Stegostoma tigrinum: one gene and its partner. The protein of the gene in region 2 interacts with the protein of the main gene of each other region in a biochemical or structural test. Links are inferred from orthologs where the notes say so. Each region holds a gene or a part of one and is shown on either strand. Other genes may lie near its edges.

Region 1 (7,460 bases), on a different chromosome or scaffold from region 2:
TAACGTCAGCTTTTGTGCTCCTGAGATGCTGCTTGGCCTGCTGTGTTCATCCAGCCTCACATTTTATTATTTCCACTCAGCTGATGTTTGACTTTCAAATGAGGTGCAAATTTAAATATTTGCAATTCTTTTAAAATCTGACATTTTTGTGTTTTAGACTTATGAGCAGAGGAAACAATGTGCAATGGAATATACTACCATATTCAAGCGTATCTTCCAGTGGATCAAATAAGGTTCTGGTGACATCTTTGGAGCGTTCATGATTTAATAAACCTCATAATTGGCAAGACTGGCACGATGCAAGTTAGTTGGGGACAGGGAAAGTAATAAGAAAAAGAATTGCAAAAATACAGAACAATCTGTAATTTCACTGGACGAAAATTAATGAGTTTCAAATTGATTTAAAGAATTGTCTCATGTTAGGTCCAAATTCCCTTTTAAAGAATCAGTTATGTCATCAACTGACAGGTTTTTTTTTTCTGTTTTGCGATACGGGGGGCCTTGGGTTGTTTTTTATTTCCCCCTTTATATTCCATCTTTCTAGATCAACATTGCCTGCTTCTGAGATGGTTTTGCCTTACTTTCTCACAAGCCATCTTGACTCTTTCCTTTAACTTTCTTGTAAAGTGATGTGTGAAATGCAGTGTTGTTTTGACAGGTATGGCAAGGAATTAATGCTCCTGGGTTATGAATTACTGTATGGGAGCTTTGGATTTGCTGCATTATGCTTGTCAACCATTGTTTAATTTACAGCCTTTAGACGCATAACTATGTTTTCATATAACCATACCTCCTCCTTGCTGCTGAATGGGTAGTACTGCACCCATTCTGCAGTGATCACTGTTTGTGTTGTGTGATGTAGTTCCACAACTGTAACATTAAATAGAAAAGAATAACTCGAATGTTTTTAATTAACAGATTTTGAAGTAGTTAAGACATGTTCCCCTAGTGACCACCTCAGATATCAGACATTATTGTCAGAATGATATTTAGAAATAAATAATTGTTGTTATTTAAAGTTAATTCCCAGTTGGAACAGCACCTTTGAATTTTGATTTAACGTGGGTAACAATAAATTACTTTAAATGGATTATATTCAGGATATCAAAAAAGTTCAAACCTTTCATTTTGAAGTTACATAGTTTCAATGCGTTAGCATACAAATCGTTTTAAATTTCCCGCTGAAGAGATCTAGCATTCAAAGCTGTGCATGCTGAAGTAATGAAATGTCACAGAGTCCCATTTTCCCAGTAATCTATTTTTCAAATGTCAACTTACATGAAAAACAGATAACACTAATGATTTTTGCTTTGGCCTAAAGTGTTATCTGATATCTCTGTTCCTTGTCAGTTTGAATAAAAGGGATAATTTTTGCAAACGTTTACCAGCTGTCAACTTAATACATTAGCAGAACTAAAATATGCTGGTTACATATCGCTAAGAGCTACACATTTAAAAAAAAACGAGCACCAGATGTTTGAAGCGCACACAGACTATTTTGGATAGATTCTAAGTTTGTTGTTTAAGATCCAGTAAACCTGAAATTACGCACTCATTTCGTTGGCTAAAACCTTTAACATGTAACATTCCAAGCTAATTAAAATGATACTTACAGTAATTGCAGCTAGGATTAGCTGTACCTTTGATTTTGCCCTTTTTATCAATTCTCAGATAGAACTGTGTTCGACAGAAAAGTTTCCTTATTCTTACATCTCCACCTTCCATGTAGTCGTAACTTCTGGTGTGCCGCTCAGGACTGGAGGAACAGTTCACGCTCGCAGCTAGTTGGTCTGGAGTCATGTCATTGCAAGCAAAAGACACACTCCCTGCTAGAAGGATACAATGAATGTGTAGTCTGTACAGCAGAGTTGGCAGGATCCATGTTTGCATCCATTTGCGCATTATAGTGCACTGCTCTGGGTTCTCATGAATAACATACTGCAATTTAAAGTATGAATCAGGCGGATGCTGCTAGTTTGGGGGTCTCAGCTTCTGCCTGGACTCCAGAACCTTGGGACTCTTTTTATTGGTGGCAGTTGCAGTTTTAGAATATGTGTAAGCTTTCCTGAAAAAGTTTTATGGTGCTGAGCCAGGGTTTCTTCAGAGAACTGATGCACTGTCACTCTCTTCTATAAACAAATCAGTTTGCAGTGGTCTTGAATGTCTTGATCGTCCTTACTATTAGAATCTTCCTTTTGTTCAGAGAGGTTTGACGATAATAAAGCTGCAAGCAGAAGTATCACTTAACTTTAACAAGCCATTACAGTCAGCTGTTACAAATAAATTACAACCATAGCAACAAGCTTGGAGGTGTATTCCAAAGATTTTTTTTAAACATTCTAGCTGATTGCCAGTTTCTGGTTTGAAAAAAAATGTAAAGCCAAAAAAAGTACAGTAGGTAGTTTGCTTTTCTAATGACTGCTCTATTCTGCAGTTTCAGTCCTTTACTGTATGTTTTAAAAGTGTGATGTTTGTAGCATGGTATGCATTCTATGCTAGCAGTCTACTGCTGTTTTAACTACTCTGCTAAACTCTATTGCATAATCAATTCCCTAAGCTTCTGTACACTTGTCATCTTGCATGCATTCATTCATTAGTAATCACAGCACTTTTTATGTGGTGAACCAAATGCTTTCCATGGAACGTCCCATGCTTCCCACACGGCATTCTTGTTTCAACGTCTAGACCGGCTGGAAACATTCAGAACTACCTCAATTTCAACTACACATGTTTAATCTGAACTAGCATAATTTTTAAAAATTCTTATGGCCATAATGTTTTGTATATGTAACATAATAAAAGACAATTTGTTTATAAAACTTACTTTCGTTTTTGTTGAAGACAAACTGTGCATAAAAGAAATCCATTGCTTTCCCCCCTCACACCATCAGCCTGTGTGTCGTTGTGGACAATTGCCTAGTCCAGGAAGATTCCAAGAGAATCATAATTGTTTCCATAAATCAAGTGTTAACACAAGAGGGATTTTCTGGGCATCTTGAGCCTGTTGTTGTGCAGTTCTGTTCGATAAATGCCTTTCCCTGACCTCACTTGGAAGTAATTAGATCTTAGCCAGTCAGCTGTCAGTTGGATACACGAACAAAGAAAAAGTGAGGTTCCTTTTGTTAGATGTCCACATGGTCATCAGAGGGAGCTATGAACTCACAGAGGTCTTTCTTAATTCTTAAACAATTCTTTATTCTCTGTTTGGTAATACAGATCTGCTCCAATCATGGTAGAAAAATGTGCTCTGCACCTTCAAATGTATTCTGTTCTGGGGAACAAACAAGATTCAAGAATGAACCTATGGTGTATAGAATACAAGTCATCCATCACATTAATTGTGTTTTTGGGGTGTTTATGTTATCTTGGTACATCTTGATAGGTTGAAATGCATAACTGTATTAAAGCATTTGAAAATATTTAACTGGCCAATTGTTGTTTTCCCAGACATGTTCATCTTGAAATTTTTTTGCTGTGTCACATGAAATAGCAGCAGAAACATTTATGATACAATCCGCCTTTTTTCATGTAATCAGCAAATGTACCTAGTGTGTATCAAAGCTAATAATGAACTTCAATGAGGCTTTTTTTTTGGTACTGTGGAAAGAAAAGTTTTTTTTTTGCTAGCTTTTTAATGAGTTCAAAGCCTTTGTAAAGACTCACATTATGACCACTTGGACTGATTCTGCAAACTGAGGGAAAATTCTATCATCATTCTGAGTGACCACCAACAATGTGAAATTTTGATAACAAAAGATACTTCAGTGGTACTAATAAGTTATGAACTTTTTTTTACGATTGTGAAGGACCCACAACTTTTAACTGCTGCATGCATAAGTGAGTTATAGGCTTTCACACACAGCAGGAATCCGTGGACCTATTTATTGCATTGAAATATTCTGGACATTTGATGGGTATGTGGCTCCTCTAAGATCAAAATTGCTTCTAAAGTACAGTAAGTTTCATTGAATAAGTATTATTTTATGTGCGTCAATGTTTCAAATTACTAATCATTCTCTTGCATAAAAGCCAACTTTCATTTTACATATTTAATCTAATTAATATGTTAATGATTATTGTAAAAACAGATTGGCATGCAAATTGTGCATGATAACTACATGAAATAGGTGTTTTTGTTATGAAAGAATCCAGTATAGTTTTCATTAGAAAATCGAAATGCATTTATTTGTATTACATTTCATCACTTGACACTTGCAAAACTTTCCATTTTAATGTATTTTCCTATCTCTGGCATCCTCCCTCAGGGAAGAGTGTTAAACTGAGAAGTTGACATTTATCAGCTCATAAACATCTCCAGGGACACCATCATGACCTACCAGAGAGTAGTATGAAGCATATGATAAGTTACACTTTTCTGTCACATTTTTCCTCTTTTCTTTGTCAACCCAACCCAGTAAATATGCCCTCTAGGGGAAATCTAAGTATGATATTTGTTTGTCAGGACCAGGAATAAAATTTATGGTTCCTGATTGACTGGTCTAATAGTTTGGTGTCATGGCTTCAGAATCTACTGGAATTCTTTGATTTCTAATCTATCACAGCTTTGTCTCTTTTAAGTTCCAGACTCTATCCATTCTTTTTCCTTCATTACAATGTGTCATCGCCAAGTATTAGTGTAATGATGCAAGAGCTTTGTTTGTTAAATATTAAAATACATATTGTATCATAAACAGCAATCTGTAAATTATTGTAAGGTTTTTTTTATTATGAGAGCGTTTTCAATTTAATCAACCTATTCAGAATTCTGAAGGCAGCATCTAGGAACTGCATGATAGTTGGCCTCATGTTTCTTCATTGCCTTTTGATGTTTAGATGTTTCCCAACTCCAGGATGTAAAACTGACTTTAGGAAACTACACTCATGAAGCCAGATCCTTATCACTTATTTTCATAGTGCATCACATTTTGGCTGCATCACGCTGTATCATAGTGTTTCTCCACGAGGTTGAGTTCTGTCTTGTTACTCAGAAGCGTTTTTCTCTTGATAACATGCTGAAGAGTCCTTCAACACCCTGGGGCATAGTCAGTCCTCTTTGTAAATTTCTCCAGGCCAATTTAAGTGTCATATGCAGTGGATTGTGAACCACTGTTTAAGGCCAGAACCTGCAAATTTTCTCTGATGATGACAAAGAAGCTGCAATCTTGAAGGTCAATGGCTGCTTCCAGGCAGAAAATCCTTCAAGAAGAGGACTTGTTTTTTGTTCACATGAGGAAGGCAACAGGAAGCTACCTTATTTCTATTTCTTCCTGGTTTTATTGCTTACTGCTTATTCAAGTTGAAAACAGGAGGCTGTAACCAGCAAATGAAAAAGAAGGTGCAGGACTGTGAGGAACGGAGCAATGAATGGGAAATAAGCATTCAGGCAGACCACTACTACAGCATGCCAAGTCTTGTAGGATTACAGAGCCAAATATCAGTAGAGAAGAAAATACAGTGGGTAAAAGTATTACATACAGGTGAGAAATAGAGGTCTGTGAAAATAAATGTCTGACTATACTTAATGTTAGACCAGAAATGACTACAAAGGTGAATATCTTGGTGAACAACATTAATTGGAAGTAGCTGTTCATCATTGACATCATACTATAATTGCACTACAGATTGATAAGTCATCAATAGGATGATAGCACTGCAATATGAATGTTTAATCTGAGACCTCATAAACATTGTACCCAAAGATTTATTTCCTAAATAAACAGAGAAAAATAAAACAGAACAAATAACAGAGAAATAAATTGAATTGCAGGCAAATAAAATGTAGAGAAACAGCGAGAGGAATAAAGTGTGGAAAAGCCAAAGTAAATTAACTGAGAGAAGCAAGTAGAAAAATGTCAGAAAAAGCTATTAAAACAAACAGGAAGAATAAGAGGTCATCATCATTTTTGCGGAGAATTGGTGTTGTGTTATATTGGGCCATAAGAAATTAATGCACGAATGTCAAGGTAGATTTGTTAACTATACAAAAATTCTTGATTTATGAGCTATAGAACTAACCATCACATTCATCATGACCAAAAATATGAAACACCCAGGGAGTATCTCATTGAACTGCTATCACAGGAACATACTAGAAATGCTGAATAATAAAAAACCCAAAGTCTGTTTACTTTGCCTTGTGCTATTTTGGGAGACACATTACACGGAGATAAGGTAGTTATTGAAATCATAATCGATGTCAATCTGTTAGTGTGCGCACCTGGGCATGAGAAGCATCTGAGTGTTGAAGAGTTTTGGGGAACCATGTCATCAAATCTTTTTTGGAATCATGATGACTTTGTCAAAGAGGACAGGCAGGACTTGGACCCAAAAGTCCAGTTCCATTTCAGATTGATCGCACTTTTGATAGTACGGTAAAGATTCAGGTTTTGACTCACAAGTGAGAGAAACCAAAATTCAGCCCATGTAGTGACTTTCTACAAAACAGGGTACCAGGCCTGACTCCATCCTGCATCAGTCATGGAGCAAAAAATCAGACCATTTAGGGCACTTTTTCCTAAAGCAGTGCCCCAAGCCAGGAAATTTCTCAAGTCAAGCCACCCAGCTCAGGAGCAAAATCCACCCACATATATCCAAAGTCATCTTTTTCTGCTTAAGCATGCTGCACATGGCACATGTAGTGTCTCAAATTATTTCAAGTGCTGTATTCCAAAATGTTATGAATGTTATCTGAAAAAAAACCCTCAAAAAAAGCCTCTGTCATTGCTTGTGAACAAGTGACTCTTGAGTGTTAAAAAGGCTTTGCATCCTTAAACCTCTTGCTTGTGACATTAACAAGAGTGGAGATGGCAGGAAATGCCCAAGATTTCTGCCAAGGCAGATAACAAGTTTTAAACACAACCGAAAAACTGCATTACTTTCTGGAATAAGAATTTACAACTTCATTGTTCCCTGTCTCGGCCTCCTTCGTTAGATTGTCATTGCAAGGCCATAAATTATATCATTAATAGGTATATTTTCATACAAACTTACAAAATTAAATGATTGCAGCAGGACTAATTATATTGTATAAAACTGAGCAATTTCACAAGCTCTTTAAGTCAGGTGGGTAGGTTCATGCCGAGAAGGGACTTGTTTTTCCTAATTTGTGAAGAATCAGTGCTTCTCTCTTTACTGGTATATTACTGGCTTTTTTACTGCAAATCGATAATGCTATAGTAATGATGTGACTTCCCACGTCCCAGCACTTTCCTGTCAATGTAAGATAGTGTCAATTACAGGTTGTCACACATGTGCCAGTATAACTGAAGGCAAATCTTCATAGATTTCCGTACACTTAAAGTTAAAAGTTTGATAATTGCTCCAAGAGTTTTTCTCCTGCTGCCTGGACTCAGAATGTGGTGGAGAATAACTTCAGTCCATGATTGTAGAGACCATTTTCAATATTAGTCAACATTGTTCTCCAAGTGTTATCCATTTTCCTGTCATTGGTTAAGGCTTTT
Region 2 (8,052 bases):
ATCAGTATTAAGAAGATATGGGAGACTGCTTCGAAATCGGCATTGGCAATGAATTGCAAACCTCCCAAGACCAGTGAAATAAAATGAGACCACTGACAGAAGCCCTGACATACCGTCATTTAAAAAAAAGCGCTGCTGCTATCAGATCAAAGTCTTTGTCTTTGAACATTTCTAAAGCAACAGTATCTACCACTAGCTTCCTAGAATGGCCACATGGAATCTCTAGATGACTACCAAAATAATAAGTAATTCAAGCAAACCTTGCAGATGCTACATCATAATGATTTCTCAATCACTGGAAGTCACTCAGCAAAAGCTGAATTTGAAAGCATAACTAAATGCATTGTGTAGCATTTTACTTTAAAACCCGTTCTAAGTATTTAAATACTTGTTTGTGACTTCTGTGAAGAAATTAAGAAGTCTTACAAGAAACAAAACCTAACTTCAGAATAGAGAAACTTTGAAGGCATGGACTTTACAAAACTAAACCAATGTCAGAAAGCGTACATTAAATAGATGCGAAAGATCATGCTCAAAAACCTAATCTAGTAAAATAATTTTCAAATACTTCAGTTGTCCCAACATAAAGGAAGCAAGATACTGGAATTTAATTAACTGTAGGCCAGTTAAACAAAAAAAAAGCAACATGGCAAATTTCATTACAGCTGCCTTTATATTCCTTTTATGTAATAATAACGACCATTTAAGGTGTAATAGATGAAATTTAACTTACCTCCAGTTTCTGATGCACCATTATCAGCAGACTTAAACTGTGGCCTTGCTACAGCTAGTGCTGCCATGGTTAACATGGCCCAGCAGACAAAGTAACAACAACTAGGCATCCTTTTAGTGAAGATCCTTAGACCGCCGCTGGAACTCCATCTGGACTCTAATCCCATCTGAATTCTTGTGTATAGGCATGAAAGACGAATGTCCTCTTCTTTACTGTGTGGCTCCTCACTTGAAAAGCTGCAGAAAGAAGAATTAGCCTGTTAGGAGAATGACCGTGAAAGCTTATTTCAATTCAAAGTGGATACTTGCAGTTCAAAAAGTGAAAATCATGTTAGTTTTAAACTGTGACAGCACTGCTCACTGGTACAAAAACCATTGGTTAAAATTTGCAGTAACAAACATACTAAAGGACCTACTCGCAAAAAAAATTACTTCATCAGCCCTGTATATCATTTAAGTTGCGGGTAATCTTTAGTTTCTCATTTTCCCATTGTATCAAACTTAGAAAGGTTGAATATTCATGAGGTATGTTATGATGAAATGTGTCAGGACGATTAAAAAGACAGTGAAAAGAATTCATAATCAGTACTTCAGTTGTCTTCATTCAATTTCCCTCGCACTTCTTCTGCAATGAGGATTTTTAAGATCTTATTGGAAAGTGAGGTTAGAACTGCTGCACTAAAAAAAAGCAAGAAAAAACCTTCCTGGCAATTATACTTGTAAAATGAATGGATACGTGTTCACGTTTTTTCTTCCAGATGGTATTAAAGATGCAAATACAAAGGGACCCAGTATCACTCAATGGGCAGAACTGTCCTCCAGTACAAGGCATGTGAGATTGTAATGGCAAACAAAGCTGCACAACCTGAGGAATACACATTCTGACCTGAGTCAACACACAGGTCAAAACACATCAACACAGCAGCCTTACATAATTGGAAAAACAACCGATGAAAATAAAACCAATGTTTGAGAATAAACGCCTCTGACGAGTGATATCTGGCTCCAATCTCAACGATATAAAAAAGAATTACATGAACTCCATTTAACCCTTTCAATGACAAATTATATTACCTATGTTTGATTGAAGAGTTTGAATGAAATACAATTCCAGTTCTGGCTTTCTTCTAAAGTGACCTGCCAGCAACAGCTGAAATTAATGAAAATTAAATTTGTTCATACTGCACAACTCTATGAAGTTCCCCACTGGTGATCTCTGATTAAGTTACTTCTAGTTCAAAACGGTCTTTCAGTTCAGTGGACTTAAAATCCCTGAACACTTTTGATTTGCATTTTGACAACCACACAGTGCAGACAATCCAAAATTGCAAATCAGTATACTAATTAAAGTAACATCTAACTGTAAAACACTTGACACTTCACAATCTTAGACAGAACAGAGCTTCCTAATGGATCACAACCTTAACTTGAAAAAGAAACAATTTCTTTCCAAAATAAATTGTTAACTTTTTTTGAAAGTGTTTTAAATATTCATCTTATTTTAATGCACTCAGTGCAAAACTGGAATGATTCACAGGTAAATTTAGAACAGTGTCACACAATTAAAATTGTAATCCCTTGTAACAGACATAATTCGAATGATAGAAATGGCAAAAAATTTAATGTGGTTTTACGCCCAAATGTATTTTCTGGAAAACATACAGGTTGACAGGCTGTCAGCTGGTCTTTCTACAACCTAGAATTCATTCCACACTGGTCTAACTTTTCACACCATTGCATTGTCAGCAGACTTGGGATTGTAGCTAACTACAGATTTTTTCCTCATCTCAGAAGTAACAATTTATAGTCCTTCTATTGAAAGTGACATCAAAGCATGCTGTTAAATAATACAAGGCCAGCTCAATTGTATAAATTGCATCAGGGTATAAAAACTTAAGTTTTTCCTTACTTGAAGACATGAACATGTGGAACAATTTCAAAGATACAACACACTGTGAGAAGTAAAAAGAAAATTACGTTTAAAATGACGTGCTGGTCTGAAGAAATACCTCGAGTCGATCACAGCATTGAGCATGCAATTTTTCTCTTGAGTATTCACATATTGGCTCCTTGCAGTAGTACAGAAATACAAGCAATCCGGCACGGAGTTCCTCACACAGTGAAAGCTAGAGTTTTTTTTGAAAGGGAACTTTGTCTCCCTCCACTGACTACATTGGGGAGGAGCTGTCAACTAATCTGATTGATAGCCTCTGCCACCCGCTCTTCAAGCCATTTTCACCTCATCACATACCTGCCCAATTCATTCTAAACATGGGGAAAAGGCTGCTAGAAATGAGACAAGTACTGCATTCCTGCGAGCCAAATTTAAAAAAAACCTCAGTGCATAGTAAGCAAGTCAGCACTTGTTCTAGTGACTAATGTAATTTAACATCAAATAAGTTATCACACAGTTATTTCATTATTTTTCAGCCTCAACTCGTTTTCCTTGTTCTGTCCCTTAAGGCCACTAAAATGTAGCATTCAAATAAAACATGAAATAAGAATTTTTGATTTCAAACAGATTACATTCAAGTGCAATTTTTTGGCATACAATAATTGTCTGGAATCCAACACTGCTTGGTAGAATTACCTTTACTACCACAGCAAGAATATGACCCACGCTCCCCGCAGCAGGCGTGCGCACAAGATGAATTAAAGTAAGGATTGCGGGATGCCTTGGGTAGTCCTTTAGAAACAAAGCTGTGCCTGGACTACTTAGATCCAACTGTTTCTGAGGAAAACTCGATTATTTAGGATCAGTGAAAACATGACCCAAACCCACGGATCCAACATGCGGTTCTGGCACAATGCAGAGAGTGTCCATTTCTCTAAGCAAGTTCTTTTCTTATTAAAAAGTAATCTAAATCACAAGCGATTACATTTGTCTTGCTGGTGCGTCTGGGAGAAAACAAAGGCGGCAACGTTACAGAATAAAAGCAGATACTGCGACCCTGGTTCTGCTGGATATACTTCATTCACAAGTTCGCTGCAAACTCAAAAGCCTTCTGATGCATGTAAAGCTTTTCTTCCCCCCTCTCTCCCCTCTTAGGTCACTCCCCTTTTTTGTAATCTGAACCTGTTCCTGAACGGAGCTCCATCAAACAAACATTGCGAACGGACTCTGCCAATCAAATCAGCTTTCAGTAATGTTTAACTCTGCGGGCCAGGCTGTAACTCCTCTGGTTCACAGCATGTAGAATTTGGCGTACAGTTTGCTGGCATGTCCCCCAACTCAGTTTACTCCCTACAACATGAGCAAACGCTTCCAAGATTAATAGCTGTTGCATTCAAAATGGAATATAGACACAGGAAGGAATGGGACCCTCGGTCATTCACTAACATCTACCTATTCGTACTTTAGAAAGCAGCATTTTGGTTGCACCATGACAAGGCAGACAGCATTCTTTTCCTTTAACAGCAATTCAGGGAGTATTCTCCTTTAGGCTGAAAGAACGGCAAATCAATCAACAGCAGCTCATTTGGCTAAATGACTTACCATTAAAGTAATGCCTTGCGTTTCATAAAATGCAATTACACAACGTGGAATATAAAAAAATGGAGTGTTTGCAACAAAGAAAGTAAAAACAATGATCATAGTAAACAATTCCATTATGGGATATTTTGAGGGCAAAGCTTATCACAGCAAGCTTGGGAGATCCTTCACGCCAGTTATCTTTTTGAATAAAACCATAATCTATTCACTGACTTTGTTAAGTGATTGGCTGCTTTCGACCTCCTTCAAGGTCCCATTGAATGCGAATGGTAAACCTAATAAGCCTATTATTGAGACCCCCAGTGGAGTGTGAATGGACAAATAGACACTGCTCAACAGACTAGGAACCAAGGGCAGTAAAGCTATCAGAGTTCAGCCGGCAAAGAGGACAATAGCCTCAAGTCTCAAAAAAGAGCTGGGATTGACAAGGACCCCATTCAAAGTATCTGCATCCCACACCCCCCTCAAAAAGAGGGGTCCATTTTATTTTGTCTATCTCCAACAATATATCAAATCCTTGAAAGACCTCAGGGACTTCCTTTAAAACAAAACTGCCATTCTGAATTTTATACTGAAACATCAATAAGCAGCCAGGACATTAAGGACAGAGAATAGGTTGAACAAAGCTGCCTGTTAATAAGTACAGAAAAACTCTGATACGGTAGGAAAGAATAGGTTTTATCTCAATACAATAAAAATGTTATATTAGTTATTCATTTTTAAGCGAGAGAACACAATTAATCCCTCATTCCTGTTAGAATTACATTTACAAATGCCCTTTATCAAGATGCATACATGGCCATTGTAACGTTTACCAAGAAACACTGGACAATTTACCCTCCAATTTTATTACTTCTTCTGATGAAAAATTTGGATCATGCTTCAAAAGTGAACTTTCTCCTATTGACCAATTACTTCGTCCAAAGTGTCACTTGTTTACCATGAGAGTTGACATTAAGCATTGGCAAACTGTTCAACCATCAGAAGTATCACAGTTGAGCCCAATTCTACTCTCACCAAGCTTCAACAGATGAACATTACTAAAGATAATGGTAAAAGTAATTGAGCACTGATCATGAGCACAAATAATAGCTGCTTATTTGGCCTTCCATGATCCAGAGATATGGAGACCAATGAGACAGTTTCCAACAACAATTGACTGTAATTTATTTCAACGTAAATCAGATTTTGACCTGAGACTTTCCTAGATCACTTTACAAGGAAATTAATATTAAAATGTTAAACAAATGAAAAGCATAAATATTCATTTTACAAATAAAGTCTTGCATTTCTAATACAATCATAGAACAAATTTATGATACTGTGAATCAAAAATTCAGTTTATGAAGTGCCTTAAGAAGCATAATTGTATTATATAGTACCTTACGCTGAAGTCTTCCGAATACTCATTTTTTTCTCAGCTACAAGCTAACAGCAGCAGAATCTGCCACTACATTATCCAAATAGACAAGCTACTTTAGAATACTCATTTAGACAATGGTGCCAGAACGTCTGAACAGAGACTGTTCTCACACAGAATAAGTACTGTGTCTTTCAAACTGCTATTAATTACTTCAAAGTACACTTTGACAGTATGGGAGCGAGAAAAAACAAAAAAGGGAGGAGCTTTTAAAATGTAAACTATTTCTAAATACGGTTCATTTGTCTTGAGCATGCTGTGGTTTTGGAACTGTTACACAGGGAGCCTCTAATCTCAAAAGTCCTTTGGAGATATCCTAGTCCAAAACCAATCAGAAGATATACATATCTGAAACAGTTCTTAGTTACTGAAAAGCACTGTAACTGTCATAATAAACTAACTACACAAATTAGTAGTGATAGTGCTTATAACGAGTGAAGTAAATTACAGGATGAAAGCTACAGGTTTATAAAAGACAGCACATGCCAGTCTTAGACAGTGAACATTAGTTACTTGTAATAAAGTGCAGCATGTAAAATATGTCATGCATTATCTACCCCAAATGGCTGGATTCAGGGATGAGCTCTGTTCAAACTCATACTGAGTGATAAAGGAGAATAGATTAACTTGAAATGCCTGCCTGTTCTTCTTCCTTTCATCTCTGCTAGGAAGTAGGTGGCTTCTGCTCACTCATTTTTTCAGAGAGCAGCAATAAGATCATGAGATTGTATGGGAATCGTGATCAGCGAATGCAGATACATTCAGTTGTGCTTGACAAATTCGACGTACTGACAGGCTGGCACAAGATAATTGGCTGTCACATTATTTCTGGATTCATGTTTGATGAACTTGACATTTTAAATAATTAGAAATCAATGGAAAATATAAATTGTTCTGTTGCTGTACTCAATTCTGCCATTAGAGGCTGCTTCTTCATTGTTCGATTAGAATTCAGAAATCCACAGATCGCAGCACCGCAAAATTAGACAGATCTGCCCGAATTCTCTTGGCACCAGGTAGCACACAGACATGTTCAGTCCTACAAATTGTGCCCAATCATGGTCTTGCCCATTGCCTGAAAAACACTGTGTAATCTTTCTGATTTCACACTACCTGGGGACTCTGCTTGTGCCATTGGTTTAGTGCAAATTCAGGCAAAGGCTGCACTGGGTTTCTTGTTCTGCCACAGTAGAGTGTCACTGCCCAAACTTCTAATGATAATTTCCAGTAACCATTTCTCCCCTAACAGAAGCACATTGAAGAATTCTCTAAATCTAGACCGTGAAAATTCAGTATCCAGTATTTTACAGCATAAAACAAAACAATGAAAAAAGCGCAGCATTTTTCAATTCCACTCATTTAGAAAAAAAAATCACCACACATGATGTATTTTAGAATTATAAACCAAAAATTACTGCACTGGAGCTGTCTGAAACGTATTACTGGTTCATAACATAAATGGTTGTTCCACTTGATTTAACTCTCGCTCTTGAAACTTGCCCATCTGTTTGACTGACATCCCGAGTGCATTGGAATCATTTTCTCCCCCTCCTGTGCAGTTTTGAAACAATGCCATAAACACCTACAGAAGTATGACTGAAACCACAAAAATGTTGACTCTACCCTTACATATTAAACACCGATAGCTCCCTCTGTGGTAGATGTCTGAAGGCGGAGTTATCTTATCTCATTATCCTGAAGAAATCCTTATTTTAAAGTCACCACACCTCAAAAGGCGCCTAATTTACAAATGATAAAGAGACAGCTGCATGCTTACATTATTATGCAATTCCATAAATTCTTCTGTACTTAGTAGAATTGGGAACAATACACACGATTGTTGAGCTTATTTTACAGTACCAGAGACAATATACATCACAAACTGGCAATTCGGCCCAACCAAATTGTACTGAAAGTAAAGCTTCAATTCATACAACTAAATTAAGTGACAAAACTAGCAGAAAACTTATACTCGATTTTACAAAAAAAGTGTTAGGTTTTGTTAATTTTCTAATGATCTGAATTATTTTGAAGGAGGTTAAGGATCATTCGTGCAGGAGTAAACAATATTTTTTAGGAACATAACAGTTTCTAATGGACTAGGAGGTCCATTACAGCATAAAACAAAACAACGAAAAAAGCGAGACTTTAGGAGATAGGCAACTAAAGTCCAATTGTGTTTTCGAAACAACCTACGTACAGAATGGAGGGTATCTGAAATGGGGTCAGTCACACTACCAATCCCAAGTTGTTATGCTGTTTAAGGATGCGGTTTATTGATACTATTTCTAGCAACATAATTCTTCTCTCATTTTTTCAGATTATTACCTCTCCAACTATATCTCCTCAAATTGATCAGGCTTTATATTATTTACAATTTTGAGCACAGAACAGAAAAAATTTGGTG

The links. The genes of interacting proteins can lie anywhere in the genome.
Region 1: the proteins of fibroblast growth factor receptor 2-like (region 2) and fgf7 form a complex in vitro, tested with the Homo sapiens proteins (3 studies listed by BioGRID). The link is inferred for Stegostoma tigrinum from reciprocal best matches to the Homo sapiens genes FGFR2 and FGF7.

Annotation. Positions count from the first base shown.
Region 1 is NC_081386.1:18,434,740-18,442,199, reverse strand, and holds the start of fgf7 (fibroblast growth factor 7), read right to left. Parts: upstream 3,001-7,460; 5' UTR 2,825-3,000; intron 2,225-2,824; 5' UTR 1,903-2,224; coding exon 1,614-1,902; intron 1-1,613. UniProt on the Homo sapiens protein: Plays an important role in the regulation of embryonic development, cell proliferation and cell differentiation. Required for normal branching morphogenesis. Growth factor active on keratinocytes.
Region 2 is NC_081373.1:27,242,937-27,250,988, forward strand, and holds the start of fibroblast growth factor receptor 2-like, read right to left. Parts: upstream 3,309-8,052; 5' UTR 2,768-3,308; coding exon 2,742-2,767; exon of another isoform or gene 2,710-2,741; intron 970-2,709; coding exon 734-969; intron 1-733. UniProt on the Homo sapiens protein: Tyrosine-protein kinase that acts as a cell-surface receptor for fibroblast growth factors and plays an essential role in the regulation of cell proliferation, differentiation, migration and apoptosis, and in the regulation of embryonic development.